2 linked regions of the Cricetulus griseus genome follow. The protein of the gene in region 2 interacts with the protein of the main gene of each other region in a pairwise test. Links are inferred from orthologs where the notes say so. Each region holds a gene or a part of one and is shown on either strand. Other genes may lie near its edges. The genes, in order: Cep290 and CUNH9orf16.

Region 1 (8,864 bases), on a different chromosome or scaffold from region 2:
TTGGCTTTCCAAGTGCTGAGTGTTCTACCTCTAATGACTTCTAGGAAGGGCGAGGGGACCTAGAAGATCTTTATTCTTGGGTGGTTATGGTAATCACTCACAGTTCTATTGCTGTGAAGGGACACCATGACCAAGACAATTCTCATAAAAGAAAGCATTTTACTGAGGGCTCACTTACAGTTGCAGAGGTTTAGTAGTCTATTGTCATCATGGCAGAAACATGATGGCATACAGGCAGGCATGTGTGGGGCTAGAGCAGTAGCTGAACTATATCGTGATCTGTAGGCAGCAGATTGGGCCAAGGATTGTAGCCAAGCAGATCTGTAGCCAAGGATTGGGCCTGGTAAGGGCTTTTGATACCTCAAAGCCCACCCCCTGCCCCCAGTGACATACTTCCTCCAAGACCATGCCTCCTAACTTTTCTAATCCTTTCATAGTTCTACTCTTTGGTGACTAAGCATTCAAATATATGAACCTATTTGGGGACTGGGGGTCATTGTCATTCAGACAATCACAGTGGCTTTTGAACAGAGAAATGGATGAAGTAGAGGAATGAGCTTCAGATATTTAACAGTAACCTTTGGTATATCTTTGGTCGTTAGGCCTTGTCAAGTAAGCACACCCTTCTAATCTGTTTGTAAGGTCTGTCCAAAATTACTTGACAGAACTTATGTAATTACTGCCCTTCCTTGTGTTGTCCTTGTCAGATACTTTTCCGAACCAATACTATCTTTGTTAATTTATTGACAAGACATGACATACTATTTTCCTCTGGAAAAATTTGAATACTGTAAGCATTATCTTCCTGTAAGTGTATGCCTGTAAAACTACTGGCATCAAATTTTTGAAGATTTCTTTTGAGACTGGATTTCTCATTTATCGTTTCCTTATTGGTTATAAATCTGTATTGCTTCATCCATTCCACAAAATGCAGTGTTTCCCTCACTCCTGCTTTTGAACAACTTGTTCCTTCTGTAGTGCCCCTTTGGGACTTTTCTACATGAACACCTGGGTTGGGGGAGGGTTCTAGATAGGAGGGAACATTTGGTAGTCTGATGAGTTAGAAACGTTCTTATGTCTGAAATAAGATATCAACCTAGAAGTTTTACAGTTGCTGAAGTCAATCTCCACCTCAGATCTTAGGCTCTTTAGGATCACTTTCATTTTCTATTTTAATTAGCACATGTTAATTGGGATGCTTATTCATCAATACCATTTTTTTTTACTGCTAAATATGTAGCCAAAGATTTGACTAGAATAATATAGTCTTGAATATTTTACTGTGCTTTAAGCTAAATTTTAAATTAGTGAAATTACATACTAATGCCCATAGTAATTTTTCTTTATATTTCTAGAATGTATGAGACCAAGATGAAAGAGCTCGAAAGTGATATTTCCAAAAAGAATCAAAGCATTGTTGACCTTAAACAGCTTGTACGAGAAGCAACAGAGAGAGAACAGAAAGCTAAGAAATACACAGAAGATCTTGAACAACAGGCATGTACATGTAATAGTCTCTAAATGATAAAACAATGTAATATATCTCAAGATAATCCCTGAATTGCCTGAAGGTGAATACACTGAACTCCTGAATAATGTCTCTCCTAGGAGACTCAGCTAGTGAATGGTACTTAACTCATCTTCTTATGCAAGCCCAAACTAGATCATCACCAATTTCATTCTCTTATTTTCCACATCTAGTGCTCAGTGTGGAAGCCATTGTCTTATACCTGAGTGACTGCAGTCATTTCCTAACTAGTCCCTGGGCTTCCACTTGCATCATTTCACCTATTCTATACTACTATTCTCCACAAAGTTATCAAATAATCCTGTAACACATAGAGCAAATTATAGTTTTATTCTGAGACTCTTGTAGTTCCCCATCACCCTGGAATGAAACTTGGTAACATTTTTTTTCATAGCCTGTGTCTATGTACAAGGTCGAACACTTTGCATCTTCTACCAGGTGTCCCAACATTAACTCTCTCAAACCTCTGAACAACTGCAACTCTATTAGGCTTCAGTTCTTTATACCTGCTTGCCATCTAGAACACTCGTCACTATCCCGAATATTCTTCTGACTCCCTTCAGAGACTAGACCAGCAGTCTGTTACCCTGTTCTCCCTGGATTCTTTTTCTGGACAGTCCTTTCTCCCCATCCTGCCCTGTCACATTCCATCTCATCATATGACAGTACAGTTGTTGGTTTTTACTCCTTGGCTCTGTTGGGGGGCCCACTACCCAAGTACCCAAATAAATCCTACATGTAGGCTTATTCTTAGTTATGAATGCCTGGCCTTAGCTTAGTTTGTTTTTAGCCAACTTTTCTTAACTTATCCCATCTACCTTTTGCCTCTGGCTTTTCCCTTTTCTTACATCTGTATATCTTACTTTCACTCTTACTCCTTGGGTGGCTGGGTGGCTGGCCCCTGACATCCTCCTCTCCTTGTTCTCTTGCACCTCCTTTTCCTTGTTTCTCCATTTATATCTCTGCCTGCCAGCCCCACCTGTCCTTGCTCCAGCCTCGCTATTGACTGTTCAGCTCTTTATTAGAACCATCAGGTGTGTTAGACAGGCACAGTAACACAGCTTCACAGAGTTAAATGCAACATAAACAAAAGTCACACACCTGAAATTAATATTCCTTCCTGAGTAAAAGTCAAACGCCTCTGTAAGATATTCCAGCTATTCTATATGCTGTGTCCTCACTACCTTGGGCAGCAGTGAGTTGCTTAAGCATTGATGGCTTGAGTGTATAGACTGGAACACAGAACTGTGGTTTCATGTTTCCAAAGACCCAAATGTTATTAAAAGTTGGTCTTTTTAGAGCCTTTTACTTCCATGCTAATCTTTTATCTCTTAACTAATGTTTCTCTGTCTCAAAGATTGAGATCCTCAAAAACGTTTCTGAAGGTGTGGAGACAGATCAAGAGCTTATCCAGGAACTCCAGCTCCTTAGGTACATGTTATTATGTTTAGTTGACTACTTAAGTATTTTTTTTAACATGTTTTCTTTTTCCTTTGTGTGTGTGAATGCACATGTGTACACAAGTACATGCTGGGGGCGGGGGTTTGGTATGTGCAGGCCACCTGTGAAGGAAAGTCAAAGGACAACTTGCAAGAGTTGGTTCTTTCCTTCAAAGAATTGAAATCCACTGAACTCCTTATTGTTCATTTGTTCTTAGAAAATTATTTTATACAGCCAAATTTGCCACACCTAAAGATGAGGAACCCAATACTAATATTTCCAGAACGTAACTTAAGTTTTTCTAGAAGCACAGAATTAAACTTTGGCATTGCAGAACCAAACCATAATGAAAGAAAACAAGTAATCCTACCTTCTGGGAGTTTGTGCAGCCTCCTCTCATTGTAAGAAAAGCACTCTTGAAAATAACATCAGGAGTGAGATTAGGATAAACTTAGAATTTGTGTTGTTTGGGAATGAAGCAATGAAGCCCAGAGAGTAAATGTTTTCCCTTGGTGATCCTGCTGCCATCTCTTAAGCATATCCTCCCAGCATACATGACCAGACTCAGCTGTGCCCTTGGTAAATGCTGTTTTGAGTACCGTATACTACTTTATAGGAAATGCCTACCTACTTTATGAACTGGCACCCAGTGCTTATTTTTTTAACATGCTGTCATTGTGTTCTAGATTAGCCAATAGTAAGCTGGATAAAGAAAAGGCAGAACTAATCCATCAGATAAAAGCTAACAAGGACCAAACTGGAGCTGAAAGCAGCACACCTGGTAATATATTTCATAAAACGTGTTGGCTATCCCAAGTTTCTGATTTAAGGCTTGTCTTTTGTTTCTATAGTATCAAATTCTTGACAAGAGTATTTTGAGCTATTTTCTCTCAGGCTATGAAAATATTCCCATTTAACACTTAGATTGCTTATACTAAGTGGCCTAAGTTTTTCTCCTCGTGATCCACCTAGGTGTTACAGTCTCAATCATAGTATATTATCAAGCACTAAATGCTGTCCTGTGCTTCCACTTTCTAAATGTAGGTCTCTGAATCCCTATGAACATATTCTTCTGAATGTTACTAATTGTTGTTTTAATTCTAAAACTACAGTGCTATTTTTTTCTATTGCAAATAAAAATGTTATTTTTATTCCTTTCAACCCCTATTCTGATATTAACAGTCATTCCCCTGTATAACAGTTACTTACAAAACATCTGTGTGTGTACACAAAATCAATTCAATGCTTTTGCAAACAGGTACAATGACAAGTTTAAACAGTCCCCCATCTTCCCACATCAGGGCCAACAAGGTAGTGCTTGGCCTTCTTGTTTCAGTTTTCCTCCAGAGGTGATCTAGGATGGAGTCCTGGGTACCACTATAGACTAATAGGAATTTGAATCATAGCTTTGACACTTTCAATGGGACAACCTCAGAAAGGTGGCTCAACACTTAGGAATGTTTTCTTTTGAGACTAAAGAAAATATAATAGGTCAGGGTGAGTTGACAATTCTAGTTATGTATATGTGTTTGCATGCATTTGCATTTCTCCTAGGAACTGTGGTTTGATATTTGCTAATTGCACCAAGATTACAGGATAAAACTTTTAACAGTTAAAGAGAACTGGCCTTAATGTATATTGATTTTTTTCTGGATTCACACTATGTATTTATAGCTTCTCTTGTAGTAAGACCTGTGCATCATATTTTTTTCATAATTCTGTAGTACACTATTGAATGGATAGTGAGTTTACCCCAGGATGGAATTTTAGTATAGTTCCAAAGCTTCTGGAATAACTACCCTGTAGCTTCTAACCTAATCATGCCATTATCTGATAATCTGATGGAAGTGTCATGTTCTACCCTACAGGATTATACCAATTTATATCTGAATAATTTTAAATTATTTCATAGAGCTACTGTAGTGTCCTGATGCTACTTTGTATTAATGCATGGTATGATTTGTGCCAGACACTATGCTAAGGACTTTACAAAATTTTCACTTTATTCTTATAATGCCATAGGATAGATATTGTTGTCTTCATGTTACATTTTATAAATGATTAATAACCTATCCTCAAGATCACAAGTAGGAAGTGGCACTGGAAGGTAATTCTCTGAAAGTTCAGAACTCCTTACCATGGCAGAATCTTAACCACTGTGCTGCTGTGCTTTTTGCTAACTAAAAATGGCATTCATCCATCTGGAATAGATTATGTGACTGCTAGGGGATAGCTGGGTGTACTTGTAACAAACACAGTAACAAAGACCTATCCTGTTGGCATTAGGCAAGTTCTCTAACTTGTCTAAACCCAAGCCCTTATGTACTTAAGAGAAAGGAGGTAAGAGAAAGGAGGAAAGGTTACATTTCAGAGAGTACCTGCTTCAACATTAACCTGTTTGGACATTGCTAAATCAACATTTAAAGATGTGGACATTTAAAACACTTTTGGAAAATGTTGTATTTTCTTGCTTTATTGTTTCACCACCACTCTGTATATAATATAAAGGAGCTCACTGACCATGGACAAACTAACAGATATGTGCATACTCATGTTATTGGGGCACTACTCATAGTAAGTAGATGATAGGATCAGCCTGTGTGTCAATCAACAGATATACTCATAAAATGTGGTGCACATTTTTAGGAAAACAGAACTACAGATCATCTTGCTCAGTAAAATAGGCCAGTCTCAGAAGACAAATATCAAATATTACATCTTTATGAGCACTACAATACACTTTTCTGTCCTTGTCATGAAACCTCACACTACCTTTCAATGATTGCAATAGTGTGATATCTTAACCCTTGTGCCCCTTGTCAACAGCTGATTTCCTACCAAACCATCAGGGCCATACTCTATCTGTGCCACACACCTTGCCTTGGAAGTTTTGCACGCAGTGAAAAAAAAAAAAAAAAAAAAAAACTAAGCTGGCTGTTATTGCCTTCTACCTCAAATATTTCGTACATAACAAATTTTACTGGTATTAGGAGGATTTTGCTCTTAAAAATAGAAATTTCTCTTATGGAATAACCCACTTTCTGTTTTCTTGCTATGGAATGACCTTACTTACTAGTGGTAGCATGCAAGTATACCTGAGAAGTGTTCCCACCATACAGTGCCAGATGATTATAGACTGTAGGCTTCATAAATTTCCTTTTTATTCTGAAATTAACCCTCTATCTTTAACTCATTCTAATTTTATGACTATTTTTGGCAGATCCTGATCAACTAAAGGAAAAGGTAAATGACCTAGAGACACAGCTCAGAAAGTCAGACCTAGACAAGCAACACTTGAAGGTAATTCTTACTTATGTCTGACTTAAGAACAGCTGTGGGAAATGGAATGTGCCCAAAAATTCATGGACTTAATTTACTTACTTTAATATAGAGAGCTTTTAGTTAGCAACAACAACAAAAAACAGACAAATAGAAAGGTCTAGAGAATAATTTATTTTTAAATTATAACAAATGTATCTCAACATGTTTTTTTTTAGTATTTTCTTAATTTGTGGGTCGTGGGTCATGGCAACAGTTTTTCTAAGTACCTTTTGGAATTACGTTCAGGATCTTTCCCTTAAAATACTTCTGTGCTTTACTTATGACGGAGCTCATGCTTGGGTAGTGTAAACAGCCAGTGTAAAACAGCCATTGGCACTCACATTCCCCTCACACGCCCCGGGATTTCCATGATCATAAATATTATAAAAGTAAAAACAGAACTTTAAAGAAAATACGACAGTAAGAAAATAAGACAGTAATCTCAATGCAGTGAAGAGCGGAGTCCCTTTTGTTTGCCTAACAGAATATCTGACACAGTTCAAAGACTCGACCTCACTATAATGGAAGCACACATATTAAGTTATTCATATGGTACAAAGGTAAATATTTTTGTATTTACTGTTCAAGTTATGTGGGTTTTCATGTTTGTTTGTAATCCAATCTTCCTATATGTGACTTTTAGGAGGAAATTAAAAAGCTGAAAAAAGAACTGCAAAATTTTGATCCTTCATTTTTTGAAGAAATTGAAGACCTGAAGTACAATTATAAGAAAGAAGTGAAAAAAAATATTCTCTTAGAACAGAAGTTAAAAAAACTTTCTGAGCAATTTGGATTTGAATTACCTAGCCCTGTTGCTGCTTCGGAAGATGGAGAAAGTCCTGGAGAAAGTCCTAATAATTTCCCTATTTATTAAAGACCCATTTTTACTACAGAATTCACATGTCAAAATACTGTATATTTGCTTAAAAATAAAATCATATTTAGTTTTAACTTGGTAGAAAAGTATATTTTTGAAGATGTGAATAACTTATGACTATACAGTACACAATGAGCTATGATATTCCTATTTTCATAATTAAATTTTCTAAAATCATAAAGGTAAGCTGTAAAATTGAAGCTTCAGATGTAATTATTTTATACTTATATTTGTGTTAAGATATTCAAGATATTAAAATCCTATAATTTTGATAAATAGATATGTTAGTTTATAAATATGTTAGTTTAGTTATGACATGTTTTACCAAATATCTAGCAAAATTAAATAGAACCTTCAGTTACTTTAACCTCTGTAAACATAGCAGAAGACTCATCAATATTAGAAAACATTTTATACATCAAGCATTATATCTTTAAGCCTATCAAATTTCTGTTTATCTTTTTTCAAAAACTGATTAAACAAACACTCATTATCAAAAGCACAGTCATATTTGTTTAGGTTCATGTTAACAATAACTGGTTTGGAATTCATGTAAGTATCTGGAAGTGGCCAGCATAAACCAAGATGATGGCGATGAACCTGTAAAGAGGAAAAAGTGGCATAAGCTTTAGTCTTTGAGTGCCTGCTACCTGCCAGGTACAGTGTAAGGATCTATATTATATTACACTTATTTTAATTAAATGTCATAGCTGTTCTTTGACATAGTGCTGTCTGCCTTTCCCATTAGAATATGAGTATTCCCATGAGAATAGAGTAGAATCAAGGGCTCCTCCAAAATGTAATGACTATAAGTCTGTTGGAGAGCTAGACTCGTGGAGTATTAGTGTAGAATGGTAGGGTGGTCAGGATCAAAGTTGGCTGGGACATTGCTGTAGCTGTTTCCTCCACATGAAAACATCCCCTCTGGAGGGAGGCTCTGGACTCATGAAGTAAGCAAACCTTCACAAGTCCTGAAGCTTTTAAGATTCCAAGATTCTCTGCAAGGGTACAGGAGCACTAACAATTGGAGTGAAGGTTCTCCTTACACCAGAGCAGGGAGTCCCCAGTATGCTGCTTTTGTGAGTTGTAACTCAAGCTGGGGAGGGCTTCTTACTGATCCTGCTGCCTCCGGGTCCTCCATGCTCCTTACCCAGATTCCTGTAAGTAGCCCCAATAAAGGCACTGGCCCACTAAGCCCCACTTGGATGGAATCCTTTCTTTCTCTGTCTTCAGTTAGATCTCTCGCTACAAAACTCCCTACCTAGTAAGTTAGAAGTGCTGTCTTAATCGGAGAACACAGTGTGCCAAATAAATGCCCTATCACTAACTCTAGAGCACATCCTGTACATATAGCCAGTGCCCAGCCCAACACCACCATCTGTATATAGTGCTGTCTGACACTTCCCATAAACTCAATTCAGTTTTACCCTATAAGAACTATAGGGAAATATACTAACTGCATGCCAGAACTGTAGGGGAAGCTGTAGCCACGCCTTCTTAGGGGCTGGCTACAGGAGTACCTGGGCAGGCTTGTGAGGGCGTGGTCAGAATGAGTAGGGGGGTCTGTGTTTTCCGTTTCGGTTTCTCTTTGCTTCTTGCTGTACAGACTATCACCTGCTGGCTGGTTCGCTCTGTAAGCAAGGCTTTTCCCTATTAAATACCCTTATATTTCTATCTGACTCCGTATTGGTAATTTCC
Region 2 (8,964 bases):
TACAGAGTATTGAGCTACCATGTAGATGCTGGGAATTGAACCTAGGTCCTTCAGAACAGTGTTCTTAAACTCTGAGCCAACTCTCCAGTTCTCTTATTTTTTTCTTTTAATGTGTGTGGTGTGGTATGTGTGTGTCTGTGTGTCTGTGTGTCTGTCTGTCTGTCTGTGTATAGATATGTGCACATGAGTGCAGGTGCTTGAGGAGGTCAGAGGCATTGGATTTCCTTGGAGATGGTGCTACAGGTGGGTGTCAACTGCTGATGTGGATACTGGGAATTGAACTGGGGTCCTCTGCAAGTGCACTGTATGTTCCCTCTCTCTAGCCTAGATCTAGTTTCTTGTGTTGGACTAAAGAAGTCAGTTTCCCATAACCTTTGCTGCTGTTGGTCTCTTCAAATCAAACTCTATGGCACAAATAGGGCTTTGTTTCCTCTTCCTGCTAATGCAGATATGAGTTTCCCATTGGCATTGAACAGGTTGCAATACATGGCCAGTTACAGCGGTATGCATGTACTCTCTTCCAGTTCCAGATTGAATTAGTTTGAATTAGCTTTGTGGTGTCCATGGGGTTGTGCTCCCTCTGGGGTTCTGGGGAAGAATCCACTTTCCTGCCTTTCCCAGATTAAGCCCCTATGCTGAGAATAGCCTGCACTCAGGACTAGCCAGGTGACACCAGGAACAAGCTGCTGGTGCCAAGGGGTCTCCTGGCTATTACAGATAGAGGAGTCCTGGTAAGTGAGCTTCCCTGAGACACCACCCTGACTCTGAGCTGGACTCAGGATTACACTTCTGAGTGCAATCTACAAGTGATTTTGGCTGGTGACTTTGTATGGGCCGCCTTTTCCCACCCAGTGCGTGGAGTGGGGAATGCCCCAAGCAGGGCTTTATCATGAAGCCTTCTCTGATGGACAGTGTCAAGCAGGGCCACTTAGCACAGACTTTCCGTGGCCCCGAGGGCACCTACAGCAGGATACAGCAAACCCTTTCCATACTGGGAAAGTGACATAGTCCTTGAGAAGGACCTCACACTCCTCTCCAATGCATGTCCTCCCTGTTTGTTGGCACGGGTCAAACACATTGGGTCTATATCTACTATCCAGGCTGGAATTTGGTCTGATCTCCACCCGTTAAGTGTAGCCTTTGAGAGCCTTAAGAGAAGTGATGGGAACAAGACTGGCCAAGATAGGACGAGGTCGTGGGTAATCTAGGCTGCACCTCAGGGAGATGGGAAGAATGCGGATTCCCGGGGACTGGGGAGGAGCGGTGCTGAGAACAGAGTTCTCTAGGCAGCCTTTGAAACCGCCTGTCTGATTCTGACCACGCAGAGGAGCGGAAACAGCAGGACGGAATCAAATAGAAGTCTCAAGCTCTAGCGGGCCAGGGTCTTTACTGCCTGGCTCGCTCCGTTGATCGCCGGGTGGGGGACAGGAGCGGAGAGGGACGCCGTTCGGAAGCGAGAGGAGGAGCCCGAGAGCGGACGGGAGCGGAGCCCTGCTTGAGGGCGTGGTTTGAGAGGATTCGGGGCGGGGTTCTGGGCGGGGCTCTGGGCGGCCCCGGTGCGCCGCTGCGTTCCACCCTTCCGGCACGGCGTTCCATCAGCTGCTTGCACCTTCCGCCTAGCTCCCGCTTTCCGCGCGGCGGTCGCTGAGTTTCATCTTTCCGTGGCCTCTGCGGCGCCCGAGCCCGCAATGTCGGGCCCCAACGGGGACCTAGGCATGCCGGCGGATGCGGGCGCGGAAGGCGAGAATGACAGCTTCGGGGAAGCAGGTGACCTGGGCGAGGGAGGGTGCTGCTGAAGTGACCTCTGCTTTGCTCGGGGTGCTGTCCTGGAATGGGGCCGGGATGGAGGCTGTGTAAGGGACTGAAGAGCCGTCCCACCCCTCCCCTGGGTGGTTCTGGAGTTGTCCCCACAGCCACCTCGGAGGCAATGGCGAGCACTAGTGAACGCATCCCTGGACGCCGCAATACTGGGGAACTGTCGCTAAGCAGCCCAGGTTACATATGGGGAAACTGAGGCGGCTTCAGACACGCTTTATCGGTTTGGGATTTGTTTCAGCCACTTTCTTCGCTGAAGGGGAGCAGGTTCTGCTTGGCCCTGCAGGTGTTGGCCTGGTGGGCGCCCCATATGCTGAGTCAGCACCCAGCCACCTGGCTTTGCTGGTGTGACCCGCTTACCAAGGACTGTGTTGGGCGCACAGCACTGCGGAAGGACTTCAGGGGAAGGGTCAGTCCACAGACTCCCTTTGCACGTTTTGGAGCCTCAGTTTTCCCATCTGCAATATCGGGTACATTGGTGTCTACTGTTTGGAGATGTGTCTGGATTAAAGGGAAAATGGGATGACTGTTCCCATTTGTTCCAGCATACAAGTTCCTTCTGAAAGTGGATAGATAGTCACACACACACACACACACACACACACACACACACACACACACACACACATTTCAAGTCTGGTCCTTACCCAGTGGGCAGGACTTGTGCAGTAAGAATGGAGTATGCTTTTGTTCTGTTATAAAAGCTTTATTGAGCTGTATGTCACACAATAGAGTTTACCATTTAAACAGTACAGTTCTGCAGACTTTCATATATTCACAGCATATCCATTATCACAACAGTTTTAGAATATTTTCATCACCCAGGTTCTGCTCTTAATGAAGGCTGCCTTCCAACTGGAGGCAGGTTGGGTCATTAGGCTTACAGTGGGCAGCCATGGTGGGGACATCATGAGGGGACCTGGTGAGGGGGCAGTGTAACACTGAGTAGACAGAGGGAGGAGGCTATCTGACCCAGGACAGGAGCAATGGTTGGGAGGTACTCTTGACATAGATGAAGCCTAGTCTGGAGACACCGCTTCTCACCTCACCGCTCTGCTAGCCTGCAAGACGTGGAAGGATGGATCATAACAGCTATGCATTAAATTCTTGCTGTGGCCAGACCCCAACTGAGCTCTTGGTGCACTGGAACCCTACCTCGGTGTTCCCTACTGCAATAAGGAGTTGCTGGGGTACAGCAGATCTGGAACTAAAACCTAAGGGTCTCTGACCTTCAGGTCTGAGTTTTGGCCCTGTCACCAAGTAGCTATGAGAAGCTGTTCTGGTTCCTTCTTTCTTAGGCTTCAGTTTCTCAATCTGTGCCATGAGGGATGGACTTTAAGACCCAGCAGTCTTCAGAGGCTCTATCCTCCTTGAGGGATGCCTTCTCTGGGAACCATCCCCCAAAGGCAGGCACGTTTGCAATCATATCCCAGACACCCTCCCTGGGCCTTTTTCTTAAATCCACCAGCTACTTCCCCACTGGTCCCAAGCTGGCAGCTAAGTGTTTCTGAGTCATGGGCTGGCTCAGAACTGTGTCCCGCAGTGGGCACAGACCCAGACCTTGGGTCCTAAAGGACATAGCATTGCCAAGAGGCATGTCAGAAGCTGATGTAGAGGAAAATAGGAAAGACTTCTCAGAGGGGGGAAGACTCCAAGGAGGAGGTATTTTGAGCTGGTCCTTGAAGGGCTGTTGTCGATGAATTCTAGATGGTAGACAGTTGAGCAAGAGCAGGGACTGGAAAGTCAGAGCTTCATTCATTCATCCATTCACTCATTCATTCAGTAAGTACTTATCTGTGTTGTCGAGGGCACTGGGGAAACAGCAGAGAACACAAGACCCGTCACCTCTCCCAGATCTTTCTAGTTGAGTGTGAGGTTGAGTACAGGCCAGCACCCAGATAGTCACAGTAGTGACTCCTGATGGGAAAACTGTGGAAGGTGGTGTCTAGAGGACCAGGACAAAGGCCTGATCCAGGGTGGGACGGCCTTGGTGATATCCATACCAAAACTTGAAATAAGTGGAATTCATCCCAGAGGGAAAGACAAGCAGGGCACCCAGTGTATTCAGAGGACCCGAGATAGGCTGAGCAGGTAGGAGGGGAGATGGGGATCAAGAGGGAAGTAGGGGCTGGGTCTGCTTCAGGGCCCAGAAGCTGCGGGGCACTATTGGGAAGGCAGAGAGAGCCACAAAAGGGCTGGAGGTCACATGCCTAGCACAGAGCCTTTGACTGCCCAGCTCTGGAACCTGGGTTCTGACTTCTAGGTAGCTGTGGAAGGAAACACAGAGGAAGCTTGGCATATGATAGGGCCACCAGCCAGGACACTGGCAGATTGCCCCAGCACCACACTAACCCTACAAAAAAGATGTGCTAAAGATGATTTGACACTTTGCCTCTTGTAGTACCTGTTAATTTCCTGCATGATGACACTGAGAATAAGAAAGTTGTGAGCTGGGACATTGGGTGCACTTGTCTGTCAGCCCTAAGGAGACACTGGACCTTTCCTCTCAAGGGTGAGCTGGGACACTGGGTGCACTGTGTCTGTCAGCCCTAAGGAGACACTGGACCTTTCCTTTGTCTTTTCCCTCCTCCCAGAGTATGCTGCCATCAACTCCATGTTGGATCAGATCAATTCTTGTCTGGACCACCTGGAGGAGAAGAACGACCACCTCCATGCCCGCCTCCAGGAATTGCTGGAGTCCAACCGACAGACACGACTGGAATTCCAGCAACAGCTTGGGGAGGCCCCCAGTGATGCCAGCCCCTAGGTGCCAGGAGCCCCCAACCGGGCCCCACCCTTGCCTCTCTAGGCCATGTTCTGGCCTGGGTAGATGCTACCTGGCTTAGACTCCATCTCAGGTACTGGCCTTCAGATCCCCCAGTGGGTCTACCAGCCTGGACCAGGCCCCACTGCCCATCATCCCTTCTGGAGCCAGGCGTGGTCCTACAACTCATTCACTTGTCTGCCTGCCCAGCTCCAGTCTCTTTCCCCTCCACCCAGGATATAGTGTCCATATTAAAGAGGCCTCCCACACCATTGCCCCTCTCTCATCTCTTTGTGCCAGGAAAAGGACACCATTAGCCACTGGAGGGCTATGTGACAGGGCTGGGGTTCTTAGTCACAGTTCATTTCTGATCCAGGGGATACAGGCAAGGCCAGAGCTTCCTCCCTACCTGGTATGTAGCAGCTGCTTCCCCGCCTGGCTGAGACAGACACACTGTGTGACTATTGGATACATTCAGTCTCTTTGGGCACTAGGGCCTTTCACCATGATAAACACCCCTAGGATCTGATGGCAAACCTTGGCAGCTTCCACTCTAGCTATAGTCTTCCCAGCTGGCACTAAAAGCCAGGCTGTCTTACCTCTAAGGGTCATTTCTTTAAATGAGAGAACAACAGGGCTAAGGCTGGGCTCCTTCACCTACTCATCTGACTCCAGATTAGGAGGCTGTGCTCTCTTGGCAAACCAAGAGCTAACCCTCAGCAGCAAGGACCACCGCCCCCTCAATCCTAACTCCACGTCTGACTGGCTTTTGTAAGGTGCAGCTGTACAGAGACCAACACAAGGACCAAGATTTTACACCTAGGGTGAAGTCCTTTCTGTTTGCCAGTCTGACTTTTGGCAAGTCACATGACCCTGCTAAGGCCTCAGTTTATCTGCAACTTGGGAATAGGAACAAGGCCATCTGCTAGGGTCACCAGCCATAAGGATTTTCTCTCAAGTTGCCTTTCTAACCACGATACACTAAGAGGAAAACTGAGGCTCAGAGAAGATCAGTGCCTTGTAGTCCTATCCCAGAGACCCTGCATCTCAGGGAGCCTGATTTTGGCTTCCCTGGTCCTCCACCACACTGTGTCCAGAGAGACTAGGTGCCCTCCCCATACCCACCCCGACACAGTGCTGGTGGGGACTGCAAAGCCAGACAACACTTTATTGAATTTTGGGTAAAAACACCAACCATGTGAACTTTTCCACAGAGACACCTAGGAAGCATCAACAGATTGGGACCCAGTCAGGCTAGGTGGCCACAGCGCCCTCTATCAGGTTTTGAGGCGAGTTGAGCGCCGAAGGGGAAGAGGGGGGCTGGGGAATCCAGGCTTCACCTTGCTCGGTATTTTCGCTGTGTCCTGGGTACTGGGCTGGCTGAGTGGGCGGCCACTGCCGCTGCTAGAGGTGAACAGCGCAGTCAAAGCATTTCGGGCGTTGATCGCACACCTGCGGCTCATGGGCCTGGTGGCAGGGCTGGGGTTCTTGGCTGCTTTGTATTTCTGGATACAAAAGTTTTCAAGTTAGGTGCAGCCTACAGGCACTCCTGGCTGGCAGCTTCCCAACTTGGGCCAAAACAGTAATCATCTGTTGTGTGACCCTATGTGAAGCTCTTAGCCTCTCTAGGCTCTGGAGTCACCCCCACCCAGACCCCCAACACACACACGCGCACACACACACAAAGGACATAACCAAAGAGCCAAGCCTAGATCTCTCCCTGCTGTGGGAGTATGCCAGTTTGAACAGAGGTTGTGTCCCTGGGCAGGACAGTCAGATGGACACTCACCTGCAGGTTCTCAAAGTGGGCCAGGGACTTGCAGTGAGAGAGCCGTAATCCTGAGTTACTGTCATAGAACTTGTGACAGACACGGCAGACATAGCCCATCACGGGCACCAGGAAGTCCACACCTGAGGGACAGACAGCAGGGGCTGCATACTCAGGTCCCCCTAAACAGCTGGGTGACACACCTTCTCTAGGTGGGAGAAGAGAAAAGCACCAGGGTTGGGCTGCCTGACTGGAGAGCTGTGACTGAGATTGGAGGGCTTAGCTTGGGGTCTTACCATATGCCGTGTTGGGGCTGTAAGTCTCTGGGCCCTTCCATTCCTCTAAAGATGTATCTCTTGATCTCACCTGGAGAGGGAATGAAGGCTCAGATATGGTGCCTCAGGCCCCACCCAAACACATGTCAGGGGCCTGCAGTGTGCCCTTAAGTCTCCAGAGCATAAGCCATCCCCTTGGCTTACAGCTCGTTGAGGGTGGCCTTCTCTAAGCTGTGGTACACGCGGGCCCTGACTATGTTGTGGGTTTCAGTTAGCTCCTTCTTCCGAGCCAAAATACCCCTTCCTTTCTTAGGCTGCTTTTTTAATGCATTTGAGTGTGTGGGGGTGTGTGTACCCAAGGCTAGTACTTGTCAAATCTCCAGAACTGGAGACAAAGGCATTTATGAGCAACCTGACATGGGTGTGGGGAATTGAGCCCAGGTCCCCTGGGAGAACAGCATAGCTTTTCACCACTGTCCTTCCTGCCCCCCTCCCCCCAGTCAGGGTCTTGGTATATAGTCCATGATAGAGCTCTCAATTTTCCTGCTTAAGCCTCCTTCGTGCTGGAGCCTCTATTGCCCCCTCCCCCTTCTACTGGAGAGTGAATCTAGGGTTTTGCACATGCTAGGCAAGCACTCTACCACTGGGCTATAGTTCCTAGTCCTCTGCCTTCCCCTCCCTACCCCTAATCCACCTGCATTTCTTTTACTTTGTCCAGAAAAAGCATGAAAATCTTATACAAAGCCTCACAGGACTGCAGACAGTCTGCTATAGCATGCCTTCTGCGTCTGGCTAAACACCGTTCCCTCTGCCCTCCCTTCCCAACACAGTCAGTATCTCAGCCAGCCCTAAAGCCCTTGCAAACTTCACCTGTCACTTAATAGCCACCCCTGTGCCTATTTCCATGGCCATGTGACACAGCCCATAACTGTGTCATGCATTTAGTGCCTATAAATGCCAGCAGTGTCTGCATCCCTCAAGGAGCAGGAAAGCCCCTCTGGCTCCAGCAGCCTCGAACAGCCCACCCCACATACCTGCTTGCAGAATTCCTCCTCAGCCTCAATCTCTTCCTCTTCCTCATCCTCTTCATCTTCTTCTTGATCACTCTCAAAGCAACCAACAGCATCCACTGTGATGAAGTGGTCCTCCTCTGGGCTGGTTGTTTCCTTTTCAAGTGTCTTCAGCTGCCCAAGGCACGGGCAAGGGGCCTAGGTCAGCTATGGGCAGCTGAGGTACCACACTGCTGAGGGTTCTAGGTCCTCTACCTGCTCTATGATGGGGGGGGGGGAAGCTTCATGCTATACTCAGGTGCAGGGGTGGCGGTGGGGAGTTACCTCCTTGGCCTTATCTTTGTGTCCCTGGGACTTCACATGCTCCACAAACTTTCGAGGGGTCTTGAAATAACGGTTGCATATGGTGCAGAAGGGTCTCAGGGATTGTTTGGCGATCTGGGGAAAGGAAGGCAGGCTATGAGGTACATTGTAGCATTCCCCCCCAGATACAAGCTACCTATAGTGGCCCAATGAGACCTCACCTGTCAAACCTGCGGGCCCAGCTCAGCTCCGCCCCCGCAACGGGACATACAAAATCACTTTTCTTCAGTATGTGGGATGGTAGGCGGCAACACAGGATAGGAGGGATGATAGCCACTAAAGACATCCCAGTAGGCTAGTGGCTGAATAGCAGGGTGAGCTAGTACCTACACTCAACAGATGGGCAAAGTAAAGCCCAAAGAGGAACATGACTGACTCACCAGAAGCCGAATGAATGACAGTCACATGGAGACAAAGAGACTTTACCTCGCACTCCCACCCTGGACCACCTCCCCCATCTGGCTTGGCTGTGGCACTCATGGGTGCCTTTTCAGCATGTGAGTGGCTCTCGCACCTTGTGTTCCTGTGTCCTGCGGTGCTGGATCAGGTCTCCCATGTAGTACACCTGGCAGGTGTTGCACCAGCGTTTTGGAGGAGGCTCTCTGAATGATGACAATAAAAACAAGCAGGGCATGATGCTATACTCTCCTAGAGTGCCCCCGAGATGTAATGCAGTTTGGAAGCGAGGGTATGGGCCAGCCTACGGTGCCTTCTTGAGGGGCCAGGCTTCTAGTCACAGCATCAAAAAGATGAAGGAAAGAACAGCGATTCCTGACTCCTCTGAATGAGAGCTAACAGACATGTGCTCTCTGTCCAACAGGCAAAAAGCTGAGCAACTGTGAGTCTCTGCTGTCTCCTCATCCTCAGTGGAACCCCCCAACCATTGACTCAGACACTGTCCAGCCTGAGAAAGGCTTTCATTTGTCTTCAACAGCGTTTACTGTAATTCTAAGTAAGTCAACTCTGAGA

The links.
Region 1: the proteins of CUNH9orf16 (region 2) and Cep290 interact in binary tests that used the Homo sapiens proteins (3 or more experiments, as listed by UniProt). The two-hybrid records come from large-scale screens. The link is inferred for Cricetulus griseus from reciprocal best matches to the Homo sapiens genes BBLN and CEP290.

The regions. Positions count from the first base shown.
Region 1 is NW_023276806.1:166,137,280-166,146,143, forward strand, and holds the end of Cep290 (centrosomal protein of 290 kDa), read left to right. Parts: intron 1-1,355; coding exon 1,356-1,497; intron 1,498-2,885; coding exon 2,886-2,959; intron 2,960-3,654; coding exon 3,655-3,749; intron 3,750-6,188; coding exon 6,189-6,268; intron 6,269-6,400; exon of another isoform or gene 6,401-6,932; coding exon 6,933-7,163; 3' UTR 7,164-7,240; downstream 7,241-8,864. Other genes in the region: C1H12orf29 (uncharacterized protein C12orf29 homolog), read right to left, coding at 7,578-7,766. UniProt on the Homo sapiens protein: Involved in early and late steps in cilia formation. Its association with CCP110 is required for inhibition of primary cilia formation by CCP110.
Region 2 is NC_048599.1:144,107,695-144,116,658, reverse strand, and holds CUNH9orf16 (UPF0184 protein C9orf16 homolog), read left to right. Parts: upstream 1-1,577; 5' UTR 1,578-1,688; coding exon 1,689-1,767; intron 1,768-2,521; exon of another isoform or gene 2,522-2,855; coding exon of another isoform or gene 2,856-2,876; intron 2,877-4,216; coding exon 4,217-4,327; intron 4,328-4,409; coding exon 4,410-4,582; 3' UTR 4,583-4,853; downstream 4,854-8,964. Other genes in the region: Ciz1 (cip1-interacting zinc finger protein), read right to left, coding at 5,857-6,084, 6,369-6,490, 6,644-6,713, 7,657-7,806, 7,957-8,070, 8,510-8,597. UniProt on the Homo sapiens protein: Essential for intermediate filament organization in intestinal cells, interacts with intermediate filament and regulates intestinal lumen morphology.